4 linked regions of the Nothobranchius furzeri genome follow. The protein of the gene in region 3 interacts with the protein of the main gene of each other region in a pairwise test. Links are inferred from orthologs where the notes say so. Each region holds a gene or a part of one and is shown on either strand. Other genes may lie near its edges.

The links.
Region 1: the proteins of utp25 (region 3) and rufy1 interact in binary tests that used the Homo sapiens proteins (3 or more experiments, as listed by UniProt). The link is inferred for Nothobranchius furzeri from reciprocal best matches to the Homo sapiens genes UTP25 and RUFY1.
Region 2: the proteins of utp25 (region 3) and mipol1 interact in binary tests that used the Homo sapiens proteins (3 or more experiments, as listed by UniProt). The link is inferred for Nothobranchius furzeri from reciprocal best matches to the Homo sapiens genes UTP25 and MIPOL1.
Region 4: the proteins of utp25 (region 3) and mid2 interact in binary tests that used the Homo sapiens proteins (3 or more experiments, as listed by UniProt). The link is inferred for Nothobranchius furzeri from reciprocal best matches to the Homo sapiens genes UTP25 and MID2.

What each region holds. Positions count from the first base shown.
Region 1 is NC_091741.1:103,300,995-103,306,544, reverse strand, and holds part of rufy1 (RUN and FYVE domain-containing protein 1), read right to left. Parts: intron 3,946-5,550; coding exon 3,766-3,945; intron 2,446-3,765; coding exon 2,331-2,445; intron 1-2,330. UniProt on the Homo sapiens protein: Activating adapter involved in cargo sorting from early/recycling endosomes. Regulates retrieval of proteins from endosomes to the trans-Golgi network through interaction with the dynein-dynactin complex.
Region 2 is NC_091758.1:16,331,464-16,337,454, reverse strand, and holds the start of mipol1 (mirror-image polydactyly gene 1 protein), read right to left. Parts: upstream 3,391-5,991; 5' UTR 3,252-3,390; intron 658-3,251; 5' UTR 548-657; coding exon 510-547; intron 1-509.
Region 3 is NC_091758.1:40,758,014-40,763,524, reverse strand, and holds the end of utp25 (U3 small nucleolar RNA-associated protein 25 homolog), read left to right. Parts: coding exon 1-1; intron 2-579; coding exon 580-796; intron 797-867; coding exon 868-1,070; intron 1,071-1,270; coding exon 1,271-1,453; intron 1,454-2,515; coding exon 2,516-2,625; intron 2,626-2,752; coding exon 2,753-2,998; intron 2,999-3,594; coding exon 3,595-3,850; 3' UTR 3,851-3,909; downstream 3,910-5,511. UniProt on the Homo sapiens protein: Component of the ribosomal small subunit processome for the biogenesis of ribosomes, functions in pre-ribosomal RNA (pre-rRNA) processing. Essential for embryonic development in part through the regulation of p53 pathway.
Region 4 is NC_091741.1:89,375,446-89,381,738, forward strand, and holds the start of mid2 (probable E3 ubiquitin-protein ligase MID2), read right to left. Parts: upstream 3,619-6,293; 5' UTR 3,482-3,618; intron 1-3,481. UniProt on the Homo sapiens protein: E3 ubiquitin ligase that plays a role in microtubule stabilization. Mediates the 'Lys-48'-linked polyubiquitination of LRRK2 to drive its localization to microtubules and its proteasomal degradation in neurons.

The sequences.
Region 1 (5,550 bases), on a different chromosome or scaffold from region 3:
GTCATCAGCATGAAGTTATTGAAGTTATGAAAACAAACATGGCTGGAATCAGTTTTACCTGTAATCTTGTTATTATTCTCTAAGTGTATGTGCTGCTGTGATGAGTGAATGACCCCACTGTGGGATTAATACATCTAATCTGTTCTATCCAATAAATTTTTTTCAGCCAGTAGGAAAAAATATGTTTGAGGAATTTTGACCTTTCCGGGCTTCCGTACCAGTAACCCGGTTACCGAGGAGGGGTTCGTCTCCCAAACAGAAAAAACACACTGGTTACGCGGTGAATTAAAACATTAATTCACCGCGTAACCAACTAATGTAGGAGAGGGACGTGTGAGCGAGTCACCACGGTAGAAAGCCCAGCTTGCTATGAGTGAGAGTAGCAAGCATGTGGCTGATGAGTGAAAACTAGACAAAAAACATTTGGGACTGAAACTCCGTCAAAATCGGCTGCATTTCTAAATAAAATCACGTCGTTTTGGCGACTCACGGTTTTGGGAGAGAGAACCGGGTCTGCCGGTCTCATCTACCGCAGGTGAAGCTCATCGCTCCGCCCACCTCACATCCAGAGCGGAGAGAAGCACATTGGCTTGAGTTAGACACATGGGATTCTGTGTGTGAAATAACGCCGTGTGTGTGCATGTCGTCCAGTAGCTAATACTACAGTTAATATAATCTATCTTTCTTTTCATAAACCTGACTGCTTGGTGCCCCTCTGGCCCCTCTGTGCCCTGCGCACTGCGCGTGATGCACGTTTAGGGAGCCTTCGCACGCGGGGAAAAACCAGCAGTACTAGTTTTTCAAAGAAAAACAAATTTCAAAGTTTTGTTATATTTAAAATCATTTTAAACTGATTATGGTTAGTATACATGTGCAAATATAGACTATAGATGTCTCATATTTACATTGTTTTAATGTAAATCCACAAAATAAATTATTAAAGGGGCATTATGGAAGTTTGACAGCCAAAACATGCATAGAAATAATAAATTTCTTCTTCATACATTCTCCTGCAATGCCCTGGTCCTGTAGAATGAGCCCTGGCATTTTTACTGTGATTTCCTGTTTATGTCGATTTTTCTGTAAAATCACAGAAAAAGAGAGCTGCTCGGGTCGAGCGGGCTGCTTCATGCGCGTTCACGCTCAGGCATAGCCCGTACCATTTGCTATCCGTAGCTTAAGCAACAGAGAGTGAGGTAGTGCCAACTTAGCGACTTTGTCGCTGTTCCTAACGCCTAGTGATGAACCTACCTACATTTCTGAGGACCCTTAGCTACTTTCTTCTAGATATTTCCAGCAAATTAGCAACAAAATAGCCATTTTCGCTCCGAACCATTCTTTGAACGTTGTTTCAGCTGTCATCTAGGATATAAAAGTTACAGATACCCCAGACTTCACTGGCGCTTTAGCTCAACTAGTTAGACATCAGACTCTTGAGCAGAAGATCCAGGTTTGATTCTTGATGTGAATGTAATTTATGTAGAGTTTAGTTTTTACATTAATGGTATATATTTTTACAGTAAGATGCCCAAATTTTTATTTGAGACTCGCCGAACGGCTTTGAATTCACAGATAAAAAAGATGTGGGTTCAACTTTCATTTTGGAACAATTTTTCAAGCAAGGGAAGGGAATGGTCTGTGAAGCTGACGGACTGACCCATCATAAACCTTTGTCGGCTGTGCTGAAGAGAAAGAAAGGTACAGAATCAAATTATTTAATTAATTAGCTGCGCGTTCTCCTGTCCTCCGGGCCACACACACACACGGGACTGTCTCAGCTGTATTTGCGTTAAGGAGTGTGCACGTACAGCATGCGCGCCTCGTGCACGAGCCTACTATTGAAGCTGCCGTTACGCTTTTGGCCTGAAGGGGCAATCGCGAGCATAAAAATTCAAAACTCCGTAAAGTCCCTTTAAGGTATGTTGTTTTAACTTTTTTTTTTCATCCTTCTGAAGGTGTGGTGGCTTTTATTTTGCCATGGCACGACAAAAAATATATAGCGGAAACCCCGAGCTGAAAACGTCTCTGACTGCATTCCTAAGCAAGCATGTGTGGAATCAACCGGGCCAGGCTAGGGCCGACAGGGGCTATCTGGGCAGTGTGGAGCCAATGCTAGGGCGGGAGGAGCGGAGTGGAGTGGAGCCGATGCTAGTGTGTAAGTGGCATATGTCTCTAGGCTGCCCAGGAGCCGAGAACTTGGGGTTCTCTCAGAGAAGATGGCCCAAATGGCTGGGGAGAGGGAAGTCTGGGCCTCCCTGCTTAGGCTGCTGCCCCTTTGACTCGACTCCGCATAAGTGGAAGAGGATGGCTGGATGGGTTTAAAGACTCACTTGATTCCTGGAAGATCCCTGGCACTTGTGGTAATGTTGACAGACTCTGGACACAACTTCTCAACCAGTTCAAGAGGTCCCCATATGGACTTGTGACTGATGAAGGATTTCTTGGCTGAAATATATCCAAGTAAATACTCTATTAGTTTTGATTCAAATATTACAGCGTGTGAAAACTCAGTGGGGCAAAAAAAGTCAGCCTCCAATTGTGTGCAAGTTCTTCCACTCAAAAAGAGGGGCGAGGCCTATAATTTCATCACAAGAATACTTAAATTATGTGAGATAATATGAAAAAAAAAACAACAGAAAATCGCATTGTCGGATCAATAACTGAAGTCCATCTCAAGAATTTTTTATTTACCCTTTGTTGGTAATGACAGATTTAATGTTTTCTGCAAGTCTTGACAAGGTTTTCAAACACTGTTTCTGGTATTTTTGGTCCATTCCTCTATGCAGCTCTCCACTAGAGCAACAATGTTTTGGAGCTGTCGCAGGGCAACACAGACTTGCAACTCCCTCCAAAGATTTTCTACGGGGTTGAGATCTGGAGACAAGCTAGGCCACTCCAGGATGTTGAAATGCTTCTTATGAAGCCATTTCTTTGTTACCCGGGCGGTGTTTGGAATCGTTGTCACGCAGAAAGACCCAGCCATGTTTCATCTCTAATGCCCTTGCTGATGGAAGGAGATTTTCACTCAAAATGTGACGATACATGGCCCATTCATTCTCTCCTTTACAAGGACCTGTCATCCTGGTTCCTTTGCAGAACCCCCCACCCCCCACCCCCACCAGATGGGGGGACAGGCTCTTACATAAGACGTTACAGGTCTGTGAGACGCAGAAATATTGCTTGTTTGTAGAAGACCTAATACCTTATTTTCCACCATAAATTGCAAATAAATTCTTTAAAAATCAGACAATGTGGACTTCTTGGCTCAAAGTCACTGCTCCCCTGGTCGAACCATGGGGATAGTAGAGGAGATATGCAAGATGGAGAGACTGACCCTTTTTATGCGTATCAAAGCACATGTATAATAAGCACTGGACTAAATGGTTGACATACAAGTAAATGAGGACATACTTTTTTATATTGTGTCACAAGTGGACATTTCTATAATTTTCTCTTTTACCATGTGAACATTCCATGTATCCCACCCCCCACAGGTTATTTTTTGTTTTTCCTGGTAACCCCCTCCCCTTTTCTTTATCCTGCTTTTTTCCATTACTGTTGTAAAAGATGAAAAAAATGCTAAAGAAAGTTATATATTTAAAAAAAAAGTATTTTCTGGACATTTTTTCCTCATTTTGGCTCTCAAAGTTGAGTTATTCCTATGATGAAAATTACAGGCCTCTCATCCTTTTTAAGTAGAAGAACTCACACAATTGGTGGCTGACAATACTTTTTTGCCCTACTGTATATGTTGGTATGGCTCACCTTTAAGGCCGTGTTTGAGGCAGTGTTCAAGGACAATAAAAAACTGCTGAAGAGGAGGGTACTCCGAGTCCAGAGTCCTGCCCAGACTCAAGGAGGACTGGATTAATACCTTGGTGCTTAACTTCAGCATACTGAGGAGGTTTGATCTCTCTATTGCCATGGGGTCTTTCGGGGTCAGGACTGTGAAGATTGTCAAAACAATATGTTTATATTTATCATCAAAATAACAAACTCACCTTCAATCCAATCCAGTTTTATTTCTATAGTACATTTAAAAACAGCATGGCCTTGTGAAAAAAAAAGAAAATTTGGAGTTCAAACAACGTAAAAGACTGACATCATAAAATGTCCAAAATATCTGGAAACAAGTGTGTGTGTATGTGTGTGTGTGTGTGTATATATATATATATATATATATATATATATATATATATATATATATATATATATATATATATATATATATATATATATATATATATATATATAATAGCGTCATGAATGTCCTGTTTTTGACCTAAAGGTCATGATCTGCTGTGTCTGCTTGAGCAGAGACATAAAGTCTCTGACAGCCTAATCTATATGAGATAGTGGCAAAGGTCTTTCATGCACTCTGCTCATCTGAACTGCTTCACCTTTGTTACAGCAAAGACGACTAACTATTTTGATGAATACATAATCAACAACTTTGTTAATAATGTGAGCCCAATGTTCAATCAATCTGTGAAATGACAATGTTATTACTTGATATTATAATCATGTGATCAATAGTATTTTACAAGTTATTATAATCCTGGGCATTTGCACCAGACACTAAGGACACATAATGCTAAAGTCACATGACACACTTCCTTTTGTCTGATCCAATCAGAACCTTCGCATTCTGGGACTAGGCGTGGGTATCTGTGGTGTTTGTATAAACTAGGGCTGCACGATATTAGGAAAACCTGCGATGTTCAATAACAATGATTAATATTGCAATGACGACATTAATTGCGATGAATAAAAACTTAACTCAGGAACAAAACTTATCAAAAACAAAGAAATAAATAAATCATAAAAATGAGAAAAGCTAAAGATGTGGGGAAAGGGAAAATGAAAATGAACAAGAAAAGGCAATCGGTGGATCCCGGGAAAAGCAGAGCAAAGTTAACTCAGGTGTTTGCTAACCATCAAAATCAAGTGCCCTCCGCCTCGGGGGCAGGCATCTAACCAGTGAGAACCACCCAATTGGCTAAATGGGTGAAGAGCTCTATGTGATTTGTTAAAAAAACATCACGTTTCTGTTTGGTTGACAGAATGCATCATGTGTAGCAAACACTTGAGCTGACCATTCATTGCGATATTTTTCTGTTCTTTGCGATTTGCATATTGTGCATGCTGATATCGCGATAACGATATATTTACGATATATTGTGCTGCCCTAGTATAAACCCTCTTTTGCATGTCAAATTCTGCCAAAATATGACAATTATAAAAACTATCCCACGCCACCTTTTCTTTAGTTTAAAGCGTTCTAGAGAAGTCTCGGACAGGCCATCTGGACTTCCTCTTCAGCCATAAAGAACCTCAGACAAGCTGGATAAAATCTGTTGCAAGTTACAACTGACCGCAATGGTTCTTTCAGAATAAAAGCTGAACCTCACGACCACTTCAGGGTCTCGGAGACGCCAGTGATAACCTGTCGTGACCTGGAAGCATTCCAAGACTAGTTTGGTCGGCACCGCTGCTTTTCTACCGTCTTCGGTACCAAAGAGGGTCCTTGAGGACCTCGGCATTCTGGAT
Region 2 (5,991 bases), about 24 Mb from region 3:
GGAGATAGTGGAATCTTGGGGTAAGGCTGAGTCCGGCCACCCAGATGAGGAAACTCATTTTGGTAGCTTGTATTCTTGTCCTTTCAGTTGTTACCCGAAGCTCATGATCATCGCTGAGGATCAGAACAACGATCGACTTGGTAAAATGAGAGCTTTGCTTTCTGGCTTAGCTTCTCTTCACCACAGCTGTCTGATTCTGCATCACTGCTCTGATCCGCCTGTAGATCTCCTGCTTCCTCCTTCTATCACTCATGAATAACATACTTAAACTCGTCCACCTGAGGTAGAACCTCTCCTCCTCCCAAAGCCGGTTCTCCACCCATTTCTGGTTGAGAACCGTGCCTCAGATTTAAAGAGTTGATCCTCATCCCGACTGCAAACCTCCTAAGCAAGAAGTCAACATCAAACTTAACTTCCTATAAAAGCAAAGACCTATGGACTGCAATGCTAATGCTAACTTATGCATAAACAAAAACACCACTGGACTTTGGTGTTTAGTGTTCACCTACATGATGGGAAGTCCACTTGTTGTGAGAACAATCTGCATTCTGGTTTTGCTTATAGCTCCTGGACCAGAGGAGGATGTTCCTTTTGATCACTGGTTGGGTTCATCCAGTTAAGGGCAACGAAGCTCCATTGTTCCAGGTGACTGTTCTGCTGAAATAAAGAAAATGGAAGTTAAATAGCATAAGATTTAGATTTGAAATGGGTAAGAATAAACAGTACAAGTGCACACAAACATTTTAACCTTCAAATGTCCACTACCTAGGAGGAGAAAACTAAAAACCCAGACTGCTGACCTGAATCAGAGTACAATTTATTATTTTCTAAACAAACATTTCATCTTTTAGCAGGCTATTTACAGCTAACAGGTGACCTTATTGGACCCAAAAAAAACAGTCTAATATATTGATGAAAGCAAAAAGGAACTAGAAATAAAAGTTCGAAGGAAAGTCAGACATTCACTAGGCTTCCTTTCATTATGCGTACCTGTGAGTAGAATCAGAAGGGTTTTACTGCCACGTGTGCGAAAAATCACAACATTAGGAAAGGAGGTGATGGTGGGATCCCACTTGAGGTCCTGGGTGATGGTGGTGCCCAAGAAGCGACATGAGTCCACCATCGCGATGGGAATGTCAGACAGGGTTATGGGGGGGCTGTGTGCTTCCTAAAGTCCACAACAACCTCCGCTGTCTTCTGGCTGTTTAGCACCAGGGTGTTGTGGCAGCACCAGGACACCAGCCGCTCCACCTCCATTCTGTAGGCTGACTCATCCCCGTCAGAGATGAGTCCGATGACGGTGGTGTCGTCTGCAAACTTGATAAGCTTGACAGACTTGTGGTTGGAGGTGCATCCGTTGGTGTAGGGGGAAGATCAGAGGGGAAATAACACAACCCAGAGGGGAACCGGTGCTGATGGTCCGCAGGCCCGAGACATTCTTCCCCAGCCTGACTTGTTGATTCCTGTCCATCAGGAAGTCAATGATCCATCTGCAGATGGAGTCAGGCACGTTCATCTGGGACAGTTCGTCTTGAAGGAGGTCTGGGAGGATTGTATTGAAGGCAGAGCTGAAGCCCACGAACAGGATCCTGGCGTAGGTATCCGAGGAGTCCAGTCCACTTTTCGTTGATATTGTGTAAATATTTGTGTTATTCTGCTAGACGCATGTCAGTTTTACTGGTTACATAACTGCTATGACTGCAAATCACCTAACCAATCATCTGTTGTTATCAAGACAAAGTAGCGCCAATCAAAGTAAACCTTTTTGTAATATGCAACAACGATACAGAACTCACCCAACAGTCCACAGCCAGAGATCCGTGTTGTTTCCATGAACTTCAGAGCAACACGGTTTCCATGTTTTAGTGATATCAGGACGGATTTACAAGTGATGCTTTTAATCAATTTATTTACAATGTAAATAAATACAATAAAGAAAGTAGAAGTGCAATGTGGGATATTTTTAACTGCATTAACTTCCTTTGATAACTAGGGCTTTACAACTTCCAGGAAGGCCTTATATGGGAATACTTGCAGAGAGATCAGGGCAGTACCGGTGTCGGTACAGGATCTGCTCGGGTGCAGGATCGGCTCGGGGTCCTTCGACTGCCGATGACGTCACATCACTGCAAATCTACTCAGCTTTCACACACGTTTTGGAAAGACATCAGCAGTTTTGTTAATAAATTCTTGTTTGTTAACACCTAAATGTTTTCTTTATAATTGTAATTTGTTAATAAAACACCATATTATCTTTGTTTTGTAAAGAATGTGAAACTGCATAAAACCAACATCGGACTGACAAAAAAACAGAACAGTTCTTATATGGGAAGCCATATCTGTTTGTATTAATGTGGAGTTCGTCTGTATATTTCCTTAGTTGTTATGTAAATACATTCTTTGACTCAAAATATTGCTTGGTGTCTTTCAATAAAGTTCTTATATTTTATTTTGCCCCATTTCATCAACATCAAGAGCTTTTGAGGGTCACCGTTTATCATTTGCTTATATTTTACATTTCCTTTAGAAATTCAAACATATTTTCTCCAAAAAGTGTTGATTTTTGGACTACAGGATTACAACCGCTAAGACTACGACCGCAAAGTTGTTGACCAATCAAAATCATAACGTGATAGCATAACTTCTGTAAGCTTCATGTTCAGCCAATCAACTACTTTGACGTCATCGGCGGTCGAAGGACCCCGAGCGGATCCTGTACCAACGCCAGGCCTTGCCTCTGTCAGTGCGCTCCAGGGCAGCTGTGGCTACACTGTAGCTCATCAGCAGGAGGACGTCAATGTGTGTGTGGGTATTCACCTGGATGAAAGCTCCGCCTACTCACCTGCATTAGTCAGGTGTTTTTAAAATCTAATAACTGATCCCAGCCCAGCATGCATTATGTTCAGAACCAACAACAGGAAACAGGTGGATGGATGAACCGCGGTTACATTGAGAGAGCGGGGCTTAAATATTATACTGGAACCAACCGGTAGGAGGCGGCTTGGGGCGAAACTTGTGGTTAATACTCAGGTTGATTTTCCAATCTGAAGAACTAAAGAATCAGCCTGAAGACACAAACTCCTCCGACCCCTACTTTTCTTCCTACACCGACAAGCATTGGGCCCTATAACGCTTCGTGATCATTTACACGGAAAGGTTAGGTGTAAAACCACTTTAGTTCCCTGACCAGTGAGTGGTAAATTAGCCTGTTAGCTAAACCACGGCCTGGGGGGTGACCCCGATAAACTCACCGAGTCCCGCTGGGCAGGCACGATCCGTCTCAGAACAAATCTGGCTCTATCCGTTGGTTTCCAGCTCTTTAACTCCTGATTGATTCTGAATCTGAAGAAAGTTTTGAGTGCAGAATAATGGAGTAGAATAATGGCGATCTCCTTCTTGTCACTTTTTGGCAGACCAGCCGTGGGGTTTGGAGCCTGCTGCCATCTAGCGGCAAACATGAGTCACTACACCTAGGACCAGCGACTAGGTTGCCCCACCAAGAAAAACCTAATGAAAAAATTATTTGTTTGTATTTTCTATTCCTTCTAGTGACTAATGATCACAATCAATATATTTTTTATACACACTTCCTAGTTTTTTAATTACTACCTTCTACCAAACGGTTGAGATGTGTCTCTATGGTAAAAGTAAATAAAGTAAAATAGACATAACAACTAGGGAAAAAAAGTCAGCATTATACTCATTTTGAAATAAAAATAACTACTCAAAAATTTTACCCACTTTATTCTGGTAGTAAGACACCAAACAGTTAGATTCCATTTCAAATTTGGAAGTTATTCTAACAAAGTGTAAAAAAAAGATACACAAATAATGATCAGAAAGATTTTATACAAGTACTGTAAAAGATGCTCAGAACATGCAAGTTTACTTCTGACCTTACATTGTAGTGTTGAAACAGCATAAACATTTTTTATTTTCCATAAAATTCCAAAAGTATCCTATTCACCGTTTCCACTTTGCACTGGAAATTAGAGAACACACTGAATTTTTTCTGGTTCTTTTCTTTTCTCATTTATGATGCAACTGCACCAATACCTCCTGATCATTAGAACCTCTGGTGGTACACTGCAAAGCATTCCTGATTTGCATTCAAGCTCAGAAAAACATTGCATTTCTGACATTTCCATCTTGACACACCCTTTGGACAATAACTGCATCGGACTCGCTTGTCACAGTGAAGTGGCCAATGCCCACAGCGGTCGTATCGCACATCTGGTTGTGGTTGTGAGGGTTTTGTGATGTGGCGTTTCTTCGATGGGGGTGGAGAGCTGGATGATGGTCGGCCAACTTTGCAGGGTTTCCCTTACATAGGCGTAGCCGTGGCGGGTCGCCACGGCTGAAATCCCACCGCCACGCCTACAAGATCCCAAGTTTTTTTGTTTTTGTTGGCGCTGTTTCTCGAAACAGCGGGAACTACTATGTTGTTGCTTGTGATCACAGCCGGCGGGCAGCAAGGAGCAGGCAGGGCAAGGTGAAGTTACAGCATAAGTTACTGAGTTTAAAATTAGAAAGGTAGCAGTGGATATAATGCCTTTTGGTTTACATGTTTCAATAGCATGAAGATAAACGAGTGTTGACGATCTTGACAGGTTTTCCTCCAGTGCTTACTAGGCCACATTTTACTCCCCCCACCAGGCTAAGCATCACTTATTCATATAAAATTTATTTTTTCATGTCTGACTTTAACCGCATCTAATACTGTATTACGGCATGAGCGCAACAGCGACAACTTAAGATCGATGCGTGAGCAGCCTGAGAGGTTGGGTGCTTTCATCTGAACCCTTAAAACCTCCAGCAGGCTACGTTGCACTATTGACGTGTTAGTGCGCGGCGCTAACAACTTAGCGACGTGACATGTCTCGGAGAAAGCGTAAAAACACGTTGGACGCTTCTTCTGAAGTGGGAAAATAACACCGCTTCTTAAGCAGAGCACGACGTCGCCTCTGCCGACTGCATGTACAGTCTATGGCCGAGCCGGACTGAGCTCGATAACATTGACCCAGCACAGCCACTAGGACGTTGGAGCTGCCCGTGACTGTCTGATAGAAAACCAGCAGGTTTCATCAGACTCGTAAAGTTTCTTGTTTTTGCTGGGGACCCCCTGTATTTTACCGCTCCCTCCTGCAGTCTTCCCCTATTAACATTTAAAATGATTCTGTAAACTCTGTGTATCAATAGAAAAAATCTCTGTCTCTGCCAGCTGCAGTAAATGTAGTCTCCAAATAATAAATAAGAGGTGCATTCATCTGTGTATGTCCCTTGATCCGCATTAGTGATATTCTCAGCACCAGAACAGTGAAGCAAAGAAAGATTCCTGAGTTTGTTAGTAATTTTATTTATTAGGTGCATCTATAACCTGTTATATTTTTCTCTGAAACGAGATCAAATCAGTGCTTCTATGGGTTGTCTCCTCTCTTGCACTAGAAAATTTTACTTTATTTAGAGACGTGTCATATCCTGGTACAGGGCTGTGCAGTGGCGCAGTGGTTAGAGCTGTTGCCTTGCAGCAAGAAGGTCTTGGGTTCACTCCCCAGCTTGGGATCTTTCTGCATGGAGTTTGCATGTTCTCCCTGTGCATGTGTGAGTTCTCTCTGGGTACTCCGGCTTCTTCCCACAGTCCAAAAACATGATTGTTAGGTTAATTGGTCTGTATAAAATGTCTGTGTGTGTGTGTGATCGTTTGTCTTGTGTGTCTCTGTGTTGCCCTGCGATGGACTGGCTCTCTGTCCAGTGTGTACCCCGCCTGATTGCCCATTGACCGCTGGAGATAGGCACCAGCCCCCCCGCAACCCTACGTGGGACAAAGCGGTTTCAGACAATGGATGGATGGATAAATTATCCTGGTACACAATAACATCAATGCAATTCTCCGTGTGTGTTCAATATTTGTGCAATACCAGATTAACATTGTATGTCTGTGTCCCGTACAGTATGATGCATAGTTCTGGAACCCAAGTTTTTTCTTTTTGT
Region 3 (5,511 bases):
GGTAAACACCTAAAGGTCACATTTCTGTTTTCCTCAGCTGCAGAGATGTTTTCCTTAACCAACATTACCTAGGTTTCCTAGATCAGCTGGCGTTTCACCGACGCTATCACTTCCGCGTCTGTGAAACCACGCTCCCTATTGAATTATCGTATGATCACATTCTCTTTTTGTGGGTAAAACTCAAGAAAAAAAACTTTTTACTTGTTTTTTTTTAGTTTTATTACAAAAAGTGCATTTTATGATGAAATTGATGAATAAAAACAAGAATTTCTTGATATTTCGCATAGAAAAATACCGCGAATCAGTGAAAAATAACGCAAATCTGCGAATTCCCCCTGAAAAATGCTCCAAAGAAAAAATCCGCGAATCCGCGATGAACGAACCGCGAAGTAGAGAGGGATTACTGTAGATTGTAAAATTGAATCTGCGTTGCAAGAATAGAGCTTGTACGTGTGGAAAATGCTGCAGAAGAAAACTTTCTGAATCATCCTAAAAAGATCAGAACTGCAGTTACACAGCTGGTTCATAAAAACACAAATGTTCATGTGGCGTTTCTGAGGATTGTGTTCTCTGTGTCAGGTTCTGATTCTGATTCCGTTCCGAGGCGGGGCCTTGCAAGTGGTTCACACGCTCATCAGCCTCTTAGAGACGAAAAGTAAGAAGATCGTTGTCAGCAACAAGAAGAAGTTCAAGGAGGAGTTTGGAGAAGACCCTAATGACAAACCAGCTAATCTGCTAAGACCAGACGATTACAACGCCATCTTCTCAGGAAACGTGGACGACCACTTCAGGATTGGTATGATTTTGAAGGATCACATTCACACCATTTCTCTGAGTTTATCTCTAAGACTGCGCCGGCCTCCTCAGGTGTGTCCGTCGTGAGGAGCAGCATCCGTCTCTACGCTCCCTTCTACTCATCAGATATCATCATCGCGTCTCCGCTCGGCCTTCGCACTGTGCTGGGAGCAGACGGAGAATATAAGAGAGACTTTGACTTTCTGTCGTCCATCGAGCTCCTGATCCTGGATCAGGCTGATGTCTTCCTCATGCAGAACTGGGAACATGTCTTGGTGAGAACATCATGCATCTGAGGTGATGTGGCGCCACCTGCTGCCAGAGGAGTAACTTGACAGCTTAAAAGAAACTTTTCTTCATCAAATCAACTCCTCCAGCGTTTTACATCCTTTTACCTGTAAACAATAGTAGTTGATGTATTGTGGTGGATCATAAACACTTTAGCACAACTTCTCCGTGTTGTCATCCCCACCAGCATGTGATGAAGCACATGAACCTGCAGCCGCTGGACTCCCATGGTGTGGACTTTTCCAGGGTCAGGATGTGGAACCTGAACAACTGGGCCAAACATTACAGGCAGACGCTGGTGTTCAGCTCCATCCAGGACCCGCAGATCAACAACATCCTGACTAAACACTGTGCCAACTACAGGGGACAGGTCAGTCTTTGTGGAGACTTTATTAAACCTCGATTCTAAGGAGGATTCTGGTTGTCTGAGGGAATCCTGTGAGAGGAGGAGGGATTCCTGTGGGAATAGATTAGTAATTCCAAACTTGGTGTCCCAGAAATCAAGACGTAACCTGAGATTTCCAACAATTTACAGTTCAGTCACCAACCCTTCCCAGACTTCCACATTTCTTTTTGGGCATGTTTATAATTCCAATTCCCAAAAAGTGAGGCTGTGTGATTTGCATGAGACGTTCAGGATGGTTTAGTCTCCAGTAGGGCTGAACGATTAATTGCATATGCAATTAAATTGCGATGTGACAAAAGGAGATTTTCTTATCGCAAAGGCTGCGATTCGACTGGCAGCGAGTGGTTAGCACAATGCTAATATACATTGAAAAACCCATAGGGATGCTAATGCTAATATTGCCGAATAGATTCTTGCAAATAACGAATTAGAAACGTGCCAAATTATTACATTTGGAGTCTAATAAAAAGTTAAAACTGCCATTAATCAAAGAAGTACAGACAGATATTTTTGTAAAGCTAGAAAACTGTACTTCAACTCCACTGAGTTTTGGCTAGCAGCTGTGAACGTAACTGAACTACGGAAGCTCTGCATGGACAACACGTCAAAACTTCTTTCCTGCAAATAAGTTTTCACAGTTGATGCTAGTACCTATTCTCCTTCAAGGGATGCTCCTGGCTGCAGCATTGCACCTTCAAATACAAGATGTTGTCTTTACTTGTGAGTGTTCATGTATGTGTAGACAAAAAAACTTGTTGATATGTGTAGATACATAAACTTGTTTATATTCAGTACAAGTTACATAGATCTTGCTTCTGTTAGTTGAAAAATGAGAAAAGCCCCTTGAGAAAATAATTGTGAATTAAATCGCAATTAGATTATTTTCCAAAATCGTTCAGCCCTAGCCTCCACACCGCTGCCCAGCTTGCTGCAGCTCTGTGGGCTTCACTTGATTTTCAGACTTGTAGGCGAGGACTTGAATGCACCACACATGAACCTGCAGGTGTTTTTGTTTTCGTGCTCCAGGTTGTGACTAAAAACGTGCCACATGAGGGCTCCATCTGCCAGGTTGTGGTCCAGCTGCCTCACGTGTTTCAGATGTTTTCCTCGGAGAGTTTTGTTGATCATGACGCTCGGTAAGGTCTCCAAGAATATTGATCTGCTTTATTTTAAGGCTCGTCGTGTATTTTTACTCTCTTTTATACTTGAGAGCCTTAGTGAGTATCTTCACATCCATGCTGCTCTGACATTTTCCACTTGTAGGTTTCAGTTCTTCATAGATAAAGTTCTGCCTCAGTACAAGGACTCGGTCATGTCCCACACTCTCATCTACATCCCGTCCTACTTCGACTACGTTCGGTTGAGGAACCACATGAAGAAAGAGGAGATGAACTTCACCTCCATCTGCGAATATTCCAGCAAATCGGAAGTGTGTCGGGCCAGGCATTTGTTCCGGAAAGGAGAGAAACAGTTTCTGCTTTTCACTGAACGCTTCCACTTCTACAAGAGGTCTGTTTTTTTCTAACATTTAATCCAATTCTGTCACAAAGTTACTGTTTCTTTGTAAAGTTGGATCTAAAACCCATCAGGGTGACCTGAGTAAGAAGAAAATGCAGCTAAAATTTCCAGTTTGGAATTTTTTCTGAAATTGATTGAAATTTTATATATTTATGGACAATATGACTTTTTTCTTTCGTAATATGCATGAATCTAAAGATGTTTTTATTATTATATTTAACAAACAAATGTAATGAACTGTAAGAAACCAAGGCTTAAAACTAGTGGAGATGAATCATTTTATTGTTAATACGTATATTTTAATTGTCAGACTAATTTAAGCTGTTTTCATGGAAAACAAGGAAATGCACCCACATGTTTGAGCAGTCGTGTAAAACCAGCACCGTGCATGATGTGTAGGTTTGTGTGGCTGCAAAAACAACACACAACAAGTTGATCCTAAAATCCTCAAGAATTTGCTATAATAAGTGTTACCTGCCCCTAGTTGGATTAAAAAAACAAACTAAAATGGCTTTTCCCATAGGAAAGAAACTGATTAACTAAGAAGCTGTGGACCTTAAACTCTGTAATTGATTTATTTCATTCAGGTACACCATCAAGGGGATCCAGAATCTGGTATTTTATGGATTACCCAGCATCCCCCATTTCTACAGCGAGGTGTGCAACATGCTAGCTGCAGGGGGTCAGAGGGAGGAGGCCAGCAGGACCTGCACCTCCCTCTACTCCCGATATGACGCCCACAAACTGGCTGCCATCGTCGGGGCGCAGCGCGCCGGACAAATGCTGCACTCTGACAAGAAGGTTCACCTTTTTGTCACAGCTGAAGAGGAAAAGAGCCACTGACGGACGAGCAGTGGGATGTGATAGCCAAGCTGGTTTTCTAATAAAATGTGCAACTTTCAGTTAGATTTGTTTAATGTGCCGAAGCTGAAATATAAACTTGTCAGCTGTAGGAACCATAAAATATCACTTTTTAGATGTTTTGTGGCACAAATGTCTCCTTACCTGTTAGGGCAGTAGAGGGCTGGGCAATATATCGAAAATGTATCATTATCGAAATTTCTGACTTATCGAGAATTTTGCCCGTGTCAATACCCATCCATCCATTTTCATCCGCTTATCCGGAGTCGGGTCACGGGGGCAGTAGCCTAAGTGGAGAGGCCCAGACTTCCCTCTCCCCAGCCACTTGGGCCAGCTCCTCCGGGGGAATCCCAAGGCGTTCCCTGGCCAGGTCCTCCGGGGGAATCCCAAGACGTTCCCTGGCCAGGTGAGAGACATATAGTCCCTCCACCATGTCCTGGGTCTACCTTTAGGTCTCCTCCTAGTTGGACGTGCCTGGAAAACCTCACCAGGGAGGCGTCCAGGAGGCATCCTGACCAGATGCCTGAGCCACCTCAACTGGCTCCTCTCGATGTGGAGGAGCAGCGGGTCTACTCCGAGCCCCTCCCGGATGACTGAGCTTCTCACCCTATCTCTAAGGGAGAGCCCAGCCACTCATCGGAGAAAAGTCATTTCGGCCGCTTGTATCCGCGATCTCATTCTTTCGGTCACTACCCAAAGCTCATGACCATAGGTGAGGGTAGGAACGTAAATTGACCGGTTAATCGAGAGCTTCGCCTTCTGACTCAGCTCTCTTCACCACGACAGACCGGTACAACGCCCGCATCACTGCAGATGCAGCACCATTCCGCCTATCGATCTCACGCTCCAGTTTTCCCTCACTCGTGAACAAGACCCTGAGATACTTAAACTCCTCCACTTGGGGCAATGACCTCATCCCTGACCCGGAGAAGCATTCTACCCTTTTCCGAATCAAGACCATGGTCTCAGATTTAGAGGAGCTGATTCTCATCCCAGCTGCTTCACACTCAGCTGCAAACCGCTCCAGCAAAAGCTTAAGATCACGTTCTGATGAAGCCAACAGGACCACATCATCTGCAAAAAGCAGAGACCTGACCCTCAGGCCACCAAAAGAGATGCCCTCCACACCTTGGCTGCACCTAGAAATCCTGTCCATAAAAGTTATGAACAGAATCGTGACAAAGAGCAGCCTTGGCGGTGTCCAACTATCACTGGGAACGAGCCCGACTTACTGCCGGCAATGCGGACCAAGCTCTGACACCGGTCATACAGGGACCTAACAGCCCATATCAGAGGGCCTGGTACCCCATACTCCCGGAGTACCCCCCACAGGGCCCCCCGAGGGACGCGGTCAAACACCTTCTCCAAATCCACAAAACACATGTAGACTGGTTGGGCAAATTCCCACGCACCCCCCAGGATCCCCCTAAGGGTATAGAGCTGGTCCAGTGTTCCACGGCCAGGACGAAAACCACATTGCTCCTCCTGAATCTGAGGTTCAACAATCCGACGGACCCTCCTCTCCAGAACCCCTGAATAGACCTTACCAGGAAGGCTCAGGAGTGTGATCCCCCTGTAGCTGGAACACACCCTGCAGTCCCCCTTTTTAAATAAGGGGACCACCACCCCGGTCTGCCAGTCCA
Region 4 (6,293 bases), on a different chromosome or scaffold from region 3:
TATACAAATGAATAAAGTAAACAATAAGATGTAAAATGTACAGAGGTTGGTATGTGCAAAACAGTGGCATTAATGTACAGTATGGAGCGTGCAATGTTGGAACTTGGTGGAGCTCGCGACGAGGCAGCCATACTCGGCGCCATCTTGGCTCATCAATATATGATATAAAGGTTTACAAACACAAAAGGGTAATTTATTAGAGTACTCGATTAATCGAAAAAAAGATTCGATAGAGTACTCGATTACAAAAATATTCGATAGCTGCAGCCCTAAATACCATTGTGATGATGGCCGGCAATCGGGTGGGCAGGCAACCAGCTACTATGCTGCGCATGGATCGTTCCGCTGCCGTCCATCCTCCGTGACAGCTGGGGTGGGGTTGAGGGGCTGCGCACAGAATTTTCCACTACCGTTTGTTATAAGTGAGAGAGAGGAGTGCACATGGATCATTCCGTTACTGTCCATCATCCATAACTGCGAAGAAGGGTGAGGTGTGGACTAGGGCTGGGACGACTCATCCCAAAATACGTCCACGTAAAAAATGTGCATCGATGCGTCATCACGTTCAAAACAAACACGGCAGCAGCGAGTAGCGACAACATGAGTGAGGCGGTCGGCGAAAATCACTCACAGTTCAAAAGTATGGGTCTACTTCAACAGAAAAGGAAGCGATTCAGTCATTTACCAGCTTTGTAAAATGGAAATGGCCTATGACGAAACCACGACGGCCATTCACCAGCACATCAAACAACGGCATCCAGGAGCAGTGCCTTCAAACAAAAATACATCGTAAGTTCTCAAATTTTAACGCTGTTATTTACCATCCAAACACCCCCACGTAGACATGCACTCACTCACACACACGAGCAGACCCACGCACTCACAGTCTCATTCACTCACTCACACACACTGAGAAAAACATTCAACCTCAACTCATTGAAGCTGCTATAGCGGTAACAAATAGCAGCAGCTGTTACCTGTTTTGTTGGTTTTTATTTGTGGCTCATGCTGGCAAAATAATTCTGAATGCGCACATGCTGATTATGAGAGTTGCCGAGAGCCGAAAATGTGAGAGAGCGCAAATTGGCCAAAGTAAAAATGTTAAAGATAATGTCACGGCCGTCGTAGACACTATTCCAACATTGTTGAAGTTCTTGCTAAAGCAAAATGACAATGAACTCTTGATTGTAAAGTGTAATACCTCATCCTGTTTGAACTTATTTTCTATACTTCATGCTCCTCCAGATTGTTGATCATATAGATATAAGGTGCGTCATCTACTACTACAACAACTTTATTTTAGAATTTTTTTTAATAAAATGTGTTCAAATGAAGAAATGTGTGTTTATTTCATTGAGATACATACATTAGTAATACTCAAATTGCTATAGAAGTCAAATAATGGGGAAATAATCGATAATCTAATCGAATTGAAATCTAATTAAGTTGACAGATTAGTTAGAAGCATCGAAAAAAGTATCGCTAGATTAATTGATTACAAAAATAATCCTTTTGTCCAGCCCTAGTGTGGACACTTGGCCTTGCAAAGGACCAAGCTAGGCCTTGCAGCTCAGAAACAGACCCTAGCACCTTCTTAGGGTTCTACAACCCCCCAAGGTACTTCACAACACAATCAGTCATTCACCCATTCACACGCTGATGACGATGAGCTAAAATATAGCCATAGCCACCCTGGCGCTCACTGAGGGAGGCGAGGCTGCCAAACACAAGCACCACCGGTCCCTCTGACCACCACCAGCAGGCAAGGCAGGTTAAATGTCTTGCCCAAGGACACAACAGCAGCAATCTCTGGTCAGAGCCGGGATTTAATCTGCAGCCTTCTTATTACTGGACAACCCGCTCCACCACATGAGCTACTGCTGTTGTGTATTTTATGTGTGTATTTTATGTGTGTATTTTACATATTCATAACCTATAAGTAGTAAAGCATCTTTCTTTAAGCGTTATCATCTCAAGTTAACAATCAAAAACTCAAATAATCAAAACAAATAAAAACATGTACTTTTTTAAAATCTTACATTGTTTAATATTTACATGTTTCTTTGGTAAAAGGCTGATCCTCCTTTGCTTTGTCCGAGAACAGAGTTCCAGCTTCAGAAACAAACACAGAGATAAACAGATACCTGGCTGAACTATTCTAGGAAGTCAATGCTTCAACTGCAATGATTTCCAACCCTCTGTCACAACTATAATCATCCCAGCGTGTAGACACCAACACCCATTCCTCCCCACAGAAGGGAAAAAACCCTCACTGCTCATGTCATCATTATAAAGTCTTAATAATTATCATCTGAGGGTGCAGTGGGAGAGCGCAGGAGTGAAAGAAAGCCTGAAAACGAGAGAAAGAGGCAGTAAATGGATAGAGTGAGAAAGTAGGCAGCACCCTGTGGGTGCCTGACGGATGAGGGTGTCAGCTGTATTCACCCAACTAGCAGCCTTGTCTCAGAGAGTGTCAAGCCCCATGCACAAAGACCTGTCTCATTAAAGGCTGTGATCATCCAGCAACAAGAGAGCAAGAACGATCGGGCCCATAAATGACTTTTTAGAAGCTGGCGAAACACCAGTTCATTAAGCACAACGCTCTACTCCATGGCTGATCGACATTGACCACCCATATGGAATGTGTCCTCTTCACATTAGGAAAAGTTTATTTAATAGAGAATTCATCATCTAAACATAAGAAATAGAGAGAAGCAACACTCGACATTGGACCCCGCTTCCCTGCATTTGTATTGTTTAAAATTGGTGCATTATTAATGAGGGGGGGGGAATGTTAGACTCAGCTTTTTGGAGGCCAAACTCAAACCAGCTTTTGTCTCCTGTCACCAGCAGCATTACTTCAACAGTTAAAACACTGGAGCCAACACAAAAAGGTAAAAATCCTATTTCAGTGATCAACTACTTCATCATCCAATAACATCTATAGTTTTGTTATTTACATAAAAATACAACATAAATTTGACAGTTTTGACAGTAAAAGTCAATAAGTATCATCCACAATGCGCTAACAGCAGGGTTCAGCTCAGGTCATGTCATCTCAATCAATACACAATGTCACTATTGATCAGTGCAGGGCACTTGGGGGAAAACGATGAATAGAGGTTGCTAAATACATCCTAATATCACTGTAGACTATCTAACACATGCGCAAAGAGATAATTACTACTAGATGTAAAATTTACCACTAATGAGAAATTTGCTTGAGTACATTTGCTGATTAATCTGAGACGTTTTTCTGCATCAGTTGTGTGCACTCACACACACACACACACACACACACACACACACACACACACACACACACACACACACACACACACACACACACAAACACACACACACACACACACACACACACACAAACACACACACACACACACACAAACTGCTTACCCGTCCAGCTCCGGTTCTCTCAAGCCCAAACACCCCGAGCCCCCATAGGAAGAGACAGAAAGCCTACCTCGGTCCCCGGTGACAGCTCTCCCTCTGTGTTTCTGGAGGTCGACTTGTGGCAGGCGCTGACAGGATGGTAGTTTTCGTGAGCAGAGAAGTTTCAACGAGGCAGTGCCACAGTGATCACACGCGTTGTGTCAGCGTATCAGCAGACACCGCGTGACAACGCCCCAAAACAACAACAAAACAACTGATGTGGATCTTCTGGACCCGCTTCTGAAGGATGTTGCTTTTCCAACTCAGCTGTGCGCAGCTGCGCGCTTCCTCCTCCTCTCCCTCCTGACGCGGTTCCCCCAAACCAAACGAGGGCACGTGACCAACCCACAGGGGACTGGAATAGATTTCCTCACCCCTCCTCCCCCTCCAACAGTAGCAGCTGGGATCAGTTTCACCGCTGCTCCAGTGGCCGCGCAACAAACCCGAGCCGTGCGCACCCACACTCTTCTTCCACACATCATCCCGCCTCAGCGTCTGTCGCTGTCAGGATTATAGCTTCAAATTTAAAATGATCAGTTGAACAAATAAAGTGAATAAGAAAAAAAACATTTTTTGGCTTGTAAAGTTGGATGAAACGAACTGATCACGATTCCGATTTAAGCGTCCTAGAAGAAACTTTATCTTTATAATAAAACTGTTAGTTTTACTGGGTCAAGTGGCTCCATAGAAACAGCATCGATGTTTGAACCTATTCAGTAACAGATGAGTGAGGTTGAGACCCAAACAAGTGATACACTAATATCATCACCATCCATAGCCCCTGCGTCACAGCTTCACCTGGAAAAGGAGAGAGCGGAACGGGAAGACTGTCAGGAATTCTGACAGTTTTTGAAACCATTTTTTCAGTTAAAATTAAACGTTGCCTATCGAATTGATAAAGAGGACAAAATATAAGAATCTCAGAAGAATAACAACTAGCTGATTAGTACACTGCCCAGCAAAAGGCAAGGCAGCTTTATTTAGAGCACATTTCAAACACAGAGGCAATTCAATGTGTTTTACAATTATCAGGACATGGTATGAAAACACATAAAAACACAAAGTAAAATACACACAGATAGAATTACAGTTTAAATGATAAATGACCCACACTTGTACAGCACCTCTCAGAGTAAGGACTCCAAAGCGCTTTACACTACAATGTATCATTCATCCATTCACACACACATTCATACACTGATGGTGATGAGTTACGATGTAACCACAGCTGCCCTGGGGCGCACTGACAGAGGCGAGGCTGCCAAAAACAGGTGCCACCGGTCCCTCCGACCACCACCAGCAGGTAAGGTGGGCTAAGTGTCTTGCCCAAGGACACAACAGCAGAATTCTCTGTCCAGAGCCGGGATCAAACATGATACCTTTCGATTACTGGACAACCCGCTCAACCTGTTGAGCTACTGCTGCCCTTTGGAGCTAAAGGAAAAAAAGTTGCCACCAAAAGAAAATGTTGCACAACCTAATACTTTGTTGCACAACCTTTAGCTTTGACTACAGCACCCATTCACTGTGAGGTTGTTTCAATAAGCTTCTGCAAATTCACAAGATATGTTTGCATCCAGTGTAGCTTTAATTTTCACCAACATCTTGCATCGAAGGATCTTTCATGGCGGTTAAAATGAAGAGTCGGAGTACCCGGCCCGGAGGGTTACCGGGGTCCCACCCTGGAGCCAGGCCTGGGGTTGGGGCCCGTGAGCGAGCGCCTGGTGGCCGGGCTTTCGCCCATGGGGCCCGGCCGGGCCCAGCCCGAACCGGATACATGGGCTCGTCCAACTGTGGACCCACCACCTGCAGGAGGAACATGAAGGGTCCGGTGCAATGCGAATCGGGTGGCAGACCAAGGCGGGAGCCTTGGCGGTCCAATCCCCGGACAAGAAAACTAGTTTTTGGGACATGGAACGTCACCTCGCTGGCGGGGAAGGAGCCGGAGCTTGTGGCAGAGGTTGAGCGGTACCGGCTAGATATAGTCGGACTCACCTCGACACATTGCATTGGCTCTGGAACCCGAGACCTGGAGAGGGGTTGGACACTCTACTTTGCTGGAGTTGCTCCGGGTGAGAGGCGGAGGGCTGGGGTTGGCTTTTTGTTAGCTCTGAGACTCTCTGCCTGTGTGTTGGGGTTTACCCCGGGGGACAAGAGGGTAGCTTCCTTGCGCCTTCGGGTCGGGGAACGGGTCCTGACTGTTGTTTGTGCTTATGGGCCAAATATCAGTTCAGAGTACCCACCCTTTTTGGAGTCCCTGGGACGAGTGCTAGATAGTGCTCCATCAGGGGACTCCATTGTCCTGCTGGGGGACTTCAATGCTCACGTGGGCAATGACAGCTTGACCTGGAGGGGTGTGATTGGGAGGAACGGCCCACCTAATCTGAACTCGAGCGGTGTTTTGTTATTGGACTTCTGTGCAAGCCGCAGTTTGGCCATAACGAACACCATGTTCGAACATAAGGATGCCCACCGGTACACTTGGTACCAGGGCAGCCTAGGTCACAGGTCGATGATAGATTTTGTAGTCGTATCATCTGACCTGCGGCCGTATGTTTTGGACACCCGAGTGAAGAGAGGGGCGGAGCTGTCAACTGATCACCACCTGGTGGTGAGTTGGATCAGATGGCAAGGGAACATGCCGCGTAGACCTGGCAGACCCAAACGCATAGTGAGGGTCTGCTGGGAACGCCTGGCAGAAGAACCTGTCAAGACGGTCTTCAACTCCCACCTCCGGCAGAGCTTTGACCACGTCCCGAGAGCAGTGGGGGACATTGAGTCCGAGTGGGCCTTGTTCCACTCTGCGATTGTCGAGGCGGCTGTTGCTAGCTGTGGCCGTAAGG